Linked DNA regions of Sus scrofa. The protein of the gene in region 2 purifies or fractionates together with the protein of the main gene of each other region. This does not show direct contact. Links are inferred from orthologs where the notes say so. Each region holds a gene or a part of one and is shown on either strand. Other genes may lie near its edges. The genes, in order: TMEM30A and ATP11C.

The links.
Region 1: the proteins of ATP11C (region 2) and TMEM30A purify together in Homo sapiens (co-immunoprecipitation; 4 studies listed by BioGRID and IntAct, with this or other methods). This does not show direct contact. The link is inferred for Sus scrofa from reciprocal best matches to the Homo sapiens genes ATP11C and TMEM30A.

What each region holds. Positions count from the first base shown.
Region 1 is NC_010443.5:90,684,225-90,688,779, reverse strand, and holds the end of TMEM30A (cell cycle control protein 50A), read right to left. Parts: intron 4,193-4,555; coding exon 3,999-4,192; 3' UTR 776-3,998; downstream 1-775. UniProt on the Homo sapiens protein: Accessory component of a P4-ATPase flippase complex which catalyzes the hydrolysis of ATP coupled to the transport of aminophospholipids from the outer to the inner leaflet of various membranes and ensures the maintenance of asymmetric distribution of phospholipids.
Region 2 is NC_010461.5:114,442,858-114,446,678, forward strand, and holds part of ATP11C (phospholipid-transporting ATPase IG), read right to left. Parts: intron 3,098-3,821; coding exon 2,994-3,097; intron 2,308-2,993; coding exon 2,126-2,307; intron 1,016-2,125; coding exon 752-1,015; intron 1-751. UniProt on the Homo sapiens protein: Catalytic component of a P4-ATPase flippase complex which catalyzes the hydrolysis of ATP coupled to the transport of aminophospholipids, phosphatidylserines (PS) and phosphatidylethanolamines (PE), from the outer to the inner leaflet of the plasma membrane.

The DNA.
Region 1 (4,555 bases), on a different chromosome or scaffold from region 2:
AATAAAAAACTACCATATGACCCAACAATCCCACTCCTGGGCATATATCTGGACAAAACTTTCCTTGAAAGAGACACATGCACAATGCATGTTCATTGCAGCACTATTCACAATAGCCAAGACATGGGAACAACCAAATGTCCATGGACAGATGAATGGACTAAGAAGATGTGGTTCATATACACAATGGAATACTACTCAGCCATAAGGAACACAATAATGCCACTTGCAGCAATATGGATAGAACTAGAGATTCTCATACTAAGTCAAGTAAGACAGAGAGAGAAAGACAAATACCATATGATATCACTTATATCTAGAATCTAATATACAGCACAAATGAACCTTTCCACAGAAAAGAAACTGATGGACTTGGAAAATAGACTTGTGGTTGCCAAGGGGGGTGGGAGGGGGAGGGAGTGGGCTGGACTGGGAATCTGATGTTAAAAGATGCAAACTACTGCATTTGGAGTGGATAAGCAATGAGATTCTGCTGCATAGCACTGGGAACTATATCCAGTCACTTGTGATGGAACATGGAGGATATTGTGAGAAAAAGAATATATGAATGACTGGGTCACTTGGCTGTACAGTAGAAATTGACATAACACTATGAATCAACTGTAATGGAAAAAATAAAAATCATAAAAAAAAAAAGTTGGGACAGGGACCACTGGTTTTCATCATAAGGCCTTTAGAAAAAAATTTTTAAAACTATGCACATGTTACTTTAATAAATTTTAGATATATAAAAGCAAATAAGGTCACCATGATCTGATTTTAGACAAGATATTTATTTTGAAATTTCAAATGACATCTGGGGAAATGTGATTTTTATGTTTATTGAATGGGGCATGGGCTAAAAAGAGGCTCTAATACACTTTACTAGTTTATCCAGATACAACAAAACTCTATGCACCAAATTCTTCTTGAAACAGCACTTCCTTACTCCCTCCACCCTCCCCTCAAAATATCCATGTTCACAAAGAATATAACTTTGCAGCTAAACCAACAAAGGACCATAAAGTAATTTTAAGGCAGTGTTTCCATGAAGATAAGAGGTGAGCAGGCTGAACCCTACTTTTCAGACACCCCTTTCCTAGTCTGGCTTTTCATATCTCCACCCACTTCATTATTTTCATCATCCTTGTCTCTCCATGAGTTATACATTTTCTATTTACCAGAAATTTTCCCTTATCTACTGCCAAATTTAGCCTGTCTGCCCATAACTGAGATTACAATCTGACTACTTCCTGGTAAGAACAGATGTTTCTCAGTAAACCCTGCAGTTAATGCTGTCAGAATGATTAATATTTATACATATGGCAATAAAATCTAAGCATGAAAATGTTAAAATTTGGACTTACTGACCCTGAGCTAAAATTTAGTCCTAAATATTACTAGCAACAACACTGGGGCACTGTTATTTTAGCAAGACACTTGAACATAGCAAAATTGTGTTCATTTTTATTAATATAGAACATACTAACAGAAGGTTATCTTTCAACAGAATCAAGCTTAGAAATAAACTGTTACCAACCCAATAAACAAATAATATTCACTTGACTCTCCACTTGGTTGAATAATTGTTAGGTAGTATAGTTATTTTAACTAATTTATTTTTAAACTGCTTTACGATTTCAAAGAAATTTCTTAGCTTTTACTTATTAAATAATTCCTTCAATTGGGAACTTTGTCTATCAAAATATTTCCTCCAAGTTAGTGCATTCTTCACTGCCTTCTACTTAACCTAGCTGTCTTAAAACACAATATGATTCTTTGGAAGTTGAGTATGACATCAGTGTTTCCAAAAGATGAGCATGAAGCTGGTAAGGAGGAAATGTATTCCTTCCTCAGTCACAGAGGCCATATGAATGTTCCACATTCTTCGTATTTAGCAACAGGAATCCCTCAGAGCTCAAATGGCAGGAGACAAGGAGAATTTAGGCCATCAATGTACTTGTAAAACTGATAAAACTCCAAATATGTTTTAGGACTCCATCTTCACCACAGATGAGGAAGCACTGGAAGCACTCTTCAGCTATTCTGCAGCGGCACCTCTGATCCCACAGTGAGAAAGAGATACAGGCTGGCAGTCCATCTTAACAGCACAGACTCAATCTGCAAAGACTAGAAGACCCTTCCCCCAGTGGTGACTCCACAAAGTCAACTGCCATGTGCGGTAGGCTCTATTACCAGAATAAACAGCCATATTCTGAAGGACTGACAAGACAAAAGAATAGTTTCACATAAAGAATACCCTATATACTCAGACACTGCAGGATAATCAATCATACATTAAGTACCTCATGCAAGTAATAGTCTACCTGTTACAAGTCATTATAAACTGCAAGTTGTTTTAGCTGAATTTCATGTTATACAAAACTTAAGAAGTGTGGCACATTTCTACTATTAATCATTACATTATTTTTTGAGGTTTTCTTTTTGTTTTAAAAAAACATATATTAATCAAAATTGATACATTACCCAGACCTTTTGATTTAAAATATAACCAAAGGAAACCATTACGAACTCTGAAGTCAAACAGCATTCATTTATACAAACATATGAGATATTTTAGTTAAAAAAAAATAGCCATTTCAATGCAATTAAGCCACCTCTGATTAAGAAATACCTTTCATGCATGTGAAAAAGTAAGTTTACATTCAAGAATAAGTTCCACAGCAAACAAATTACAGCGTTTATTCAATAAAGAATATTAAAATAATTCCAGTTAATAGAAAATAAAGTAACTTCAAGCATATACATATATATACACACATACACACACACACACACACACAGAGACGCATACTATAATCATATACATACTCCAAAATCTCCAGAAATTATTCAGGAAATTTAAAGAACTTCTTTTTAAAGTACATCTTAGAAATACCAACCATAATAACTGGTGCCTTAACTAAAGAGAATGTGCATACACGTTCATATTTGACCTATCAGCAAAAACTGAAAGACATATGGAAGAAATGAAGGTTATTATTCGCCAAAATTTCTGGTATACAATTATTGGTACACTTAAGTTAAAACACTTACCTGCAAAATAAAAACAGCCTGAGGTATTTCCAATGCTGAAGAAAATTTCTGAATGTTAAATACCACAAGAATGAAAAGAGTCTCCTTTGAACATTTACATACGGTTTACAGTTGAGGCAGAAGGTAAAGATCTGCCAAGAAGTTTCCCCAGCTCACCTACATTCTTTCACCCCTTAGGAAGTGCAAGCTTCAAAGGAAATGTTCACACATAAAACATCAAGTGAGCTGGGTTTCCTGACTGCAGTATCTTAACCAAATGGAAAGAGGAATTTTAAATTCTCCTGAGACCTACCTGACCTCTTCAGACAAAAGCATTAAGTCCTATGCTAGACGGGTAACCATGCCCTTTGAAATCAAAGTTAAAAGAAGCTCAACAAAGAACTATACTGGGTAAAGTGAATATGTGGACCACCTCAACAAAGATGGTCCTTGAAGCCTGTACACACGACACATGAAAATGATGAAGTATTTTATTTAGATTTGGTCTTTCTTCATCTTTTTGTAACTCTTGAATCCTGAAAGTTAGCAAGTCATTATTCTCATACATATTGTAATCCGCTCTTCACACAATAGGCACACATATACAGTATCACATGTCAATATAATATTATCGACACAGTATAAACATTTAAGCAGCAGACGCGTTTCACTTCAAAGAGGCTCTATGCATCATACGGCCTGTCCCAACAGAATGCAAACATCAGAATGCCATTTCAGCAGTTACAGTGTTGATATGATCACTATAGTTAATTTCTCTTATACCCGTCATATATTTTCATAAGTCATCCATAAGGAAGAAGCAAAGGACAAAGATTGCTTTAAAAAAAAGTTATGTGCCAACTTCAAAAATGACATACTAACCAGACATCAGCATTTGAAAGCAAGGTTGAATAGGACTGGCCTTGATGCACATGCAGTAAATTTGTTTTCAGAATATAAAATTAAATGGTAATGTCAGCAGTATTACTACTGTTTCTATATTTATGATTAATTACTAGCAGTACAACTCCCAGAAGGAAGGAGATGGATCCAATAGCGATGTAAGCAATCCCCAAAAATGGATTTTTTCCTCCCATCCATGAAATAGTGCTCAAGATCATCCGTTTTCGTCCATCAAATGAATGCACAGGATAATCTGAAGGGTGTATAGGAAGACTTTTCCATGTCTGATTAATCGATTTTTAAAATACAACTTAAAAAGTTAGCACTCAGTTGCTTGCAATTCACTGGTATCATTCTATAAAACACAGACACTTTACTCAGATGTTCTGAATCACAAAATAAATTGTTTTTATTATCCTGAAGAACTGATTCCACAAGTTAAATGTTAGTAGTAAAAGCCAACACAGTTTACAAGGAAAAATATCTAAACTTAAGGGCTATATAATATCTCATTTCTCAGGTATTTCTGTTCTCACTGAACAGGAGGGGCAAAAGGCCATAAAGAAATGCAATATGAGGAGTTTCCGTCGTGGTACGGCGGAAACGAATCCAACTA
Region 2 (3,821 bases):
TTTTAAAGTGCTTAATGTTGTTCCTGGAACAGGTGTGCTTAAGAAATGTAAAATAACATGATCTAGGGGTCTCTGGATTTAGTGTAAGTACATCCAGTGGCATTCTGGAAGAGGAAACTGATTTGCTTATGGCCAAGGTATATTCCAGTAATTGGTTTAGATAAGGCTAAGTCTTGGCCAATGTCAAGTATAGGAAAATGTATCCCTGGGTATTAAATTATTGTGGATCAGTGGCTTTCCTTGAGAAGCTTAGGTTCTGCGAGTTCTTCCTAAGCAGCTTGTTGAAAGCAGTCGAGTGCCCATGTTATTAAGTATTTGGTCTCCTTTGGGTACTGGGGCACGAAAATCCACACAGAAAATGGCTCCAGGACCTCAATGTGCATGGAAACTGTTTTAGAGACTGATTTTATTACATTCAATTTAAGAGATCATGGAAAGGAATATTTTTTAACACAGACCAAGCCAGAATAGTACTGATAAATACCCGGACCCTAAACATTTAGAAAGTGAACCACTTTTCTAAAGCTTGAGAAGTGCAAGGTTTTCTTTTAAATGAAAGGAGAGTTGGAGAGGGCCAAATAATCTCAAATGGGTCACTAGCCAAGTCCTCAGGGAAGGTTCTAACTTACAGGAAATAAAGCACCTGCAAACAAAGAATAATAAATTACAGAAAATGGAGACTTCTGCATGAACAGCTGTGATTTACATCTGTACCAATGCATAAATATAATGAATCTATGCACTTTCTTACTTTTTAAGGCTTCTAGTACTTTTAGGAAATTCATGCAGCAACTTCTTACGATATTCAATCAACAACTCATGTAATCGATCTTCTTTCCTTTCACTTTCTTCGATGGTTTTGGTGGTCAGTTCCAAGAGCTCGGTGCTGGTTTGGAAAAGGCGGCAGGCATAGCAGGTGGATTTGGCTGTCTCCATCTTGTCCCCAGTAAGCACCCAGACTTTCAGACCTGCTGCGTGCAAAGCTTCAATGGTCTCAGCAGCTTGATCCTGTAGCCTGAGAACACAAAGAAAACCTTGTTATCTTCAAAAATTCCTGACATAGAGATTCTGCAAGAAGGCTTGTGAAAGAATATTTTTATAATTCATAGCAATTCTGGAGTCCAGACGTGTTATCACAGTTGGTTTTCTTATATATCCTCCCACTCTCTCTAAGCACACACTTTCTGGCATTGTGATTAAAGTAACATTTTAAACAATGAGATCTGGAAAGTTCATGACATCTCTTGAGGTAACCAACGACAGAATTAAGAATCATCACTCAGCTAAAATGTTCAGAAACTCAACAAATGTTCTTATTCACTTAACATATTTCATTACATTTTATATCCCATCATACAAATACTTGACATGGCTCAAAACTGAAAGGGGCAAACACATTCTAATGCGATACCAAGGGAAGTTAGCAAATCCCCATCTCTGAGGAGCTTGAAGTATAGGAAAGCCAGCCATTCTGAAAGAGAATTTAAGCATAATTCTGAGAGGCAAGGATAGAAGAACGATATTCTGTGTTCCTTTTGGCCAGAGAACAACAATGAAATTAGAAAAAAATGAATTCTATTAGAATTCCAATACTTTCCAACTCGGCTAAATATAGGTTTACAAATTCTTGTTTGGGTTAAGCGTCACAGTTTACATTCATAACTTCTAGAAGACTCCTAAAACAGAATCTAAGACTTATTTTTTCAAGCGTATCAATTCTGGAGCCCTATAATCATGCCCAGCAGAGCTCAGCCTGTATATTTAGAGCAAATTATTTTAAAGTATGCAAAATCATGCTCTAGTCTGTCAAAATTGTACCGACTCTACCAGGTACCAACTCAAACGATACCCCTAGCACAAAGCTTTCTACACATAGTAAGACTCTTTCATAAATATCTGCATAAATTCATGGCTTAGTAAGTATTCAAAAGACCTCAGAGATGACGAATTCATTCTCCTAAGCCACAAATATTTAACTTGAAAATCATTCCCACAAACAGTTCAAAATCTGGTGTACTCACAAAGCTGAATCAAAGATTTTAAAATTTGAGAATAAGTTATCAATTTGGATAGATACCATCTTAAATGATTGGTCATTAAAATAACAATATCATTTTCTAGTTACTTGTCTTCCACTGCAGTGGCTCCAATTAAATTCATGTTTGTCTCAATATCATCAAAAACCTTTTCCATTTTTTCTTCTCTGTCTTGTAAGGCCATTTTCGCCTCTATGAGTTGTCTGTTAATTTTTTCATAATCATCTGGAGCAATTTCTTTGAAGGCTACACAAAGTGTCCGATACCCATCCTAAAAGTAAAGTAAGAGATCGTGACTTATCCAAATAAATAAAAACAAAACACCCATTAAAGACTCTTGCTTTACCATACAAAAGAGAAACAGACACATTTTTAGTTAAAAAAGAAAGAAAAAAAAGAACACGCTGCATAATATTCAATAGGTTAATATCCAATTAGGTTCAGAATAACAAAATAATGCCTCTTGGGGTAAAAAATTTAAAAAATATTTTTAAAGAGGAGAACATAAAGATTTCAAGAATCTTCAAAAGCTACAAATTCTAAACAGAAACTTGCAATAGGGTGTTTTATATAAAAATAAGGAGGGAGTTCCTGTTGTGGCTCAGTGGGTTATGAACCCGACTAGTATGCATGAGGATGCAGGTTCGATTCCCTGGCCTTGCCCAGTGGGTTAAGGATACAGCATTGCCATGAGCTGTGGTGGTGTAGGTCACAGACGCGGCTCGGATCTGACATTGCTGTGGCTCTGGTGTAGGCCTGGAGGTGCAACTCTGATGCGACCCCTAGCCTGGGAACTTCCATATGCTGCAGGTACAGCCCTAAAAAATCAAGAAAAAATACAAAAAAAGATGACAAAATAAGCTAAAATTCGTTTAAACAGTCCTTGAAAATAGTAATCCATAAACGTAGTCATCTCTAGCATTTCTCTTTCTATTAGGGGGAAAGGTATAGTCTCACCATTGCATTACGTTCCACATGGGCTTTAGTTAACTCAATTTCATGATTTTGCACCCTGGGGAAAACTGCTGAGTCGGCTCCTTTACAAAAGAGAAGAATGTCTCCTAAAATAAAGAACAAGAGTACTTGACTTAGAATTTCAAGACAGGTATTGGGATTTTAAAATTTTTTTGTCTGTTTAGGGCCACACCTGTGGCATATGGAGGTTCCCAGGTTAGGGGTCGAATCGGAGCTACAGCCGCAGGCCTACACCACAGCGATAGCAACTTGGGATCCGAGCCGCGTCTGCAACCTACACCACAGCTCACGGCAACACAGGATTCTTAACCCTCTGAGCAAGGCCAGGGACTGAACCTGCGTCCTCATGGATGCCAGTCAGATGCATTTCCACTGAGTCACGATGGGAACTCTGGTACTAGGATCTTAGTAACACGTAGCTATTAAGGCGGTGTCTCCCACCCAGCTGCTGTGTATCCTGAGCCTGCCTTGGAATGCTCACCTAAATGCAGCGAGACATCTTGACCTTTAATCTGTCAGGACAACATTCACCATGTTTTAGGACCAATACGGACACAACTAATATCGTAGAGTTTACAACATGCACCTCTGTCAAAACATACTTCCTTGCAATGAGTCACAGAGGACTGTGCTTGTGTCAAGGAGCTGCATTTGAATTCTCTTTCAGGATGTTGTCAATCAAGGTCTAAAGTTCACATGTGGCATCTACAGATGTCAAGGACCAAACTCAAGCTCAAACAAGATAAAATCATTTTGAAAGACTATACATGTTAGCTTTTAAAACAGTAGCTTGATGGTTTTTACTGGAAA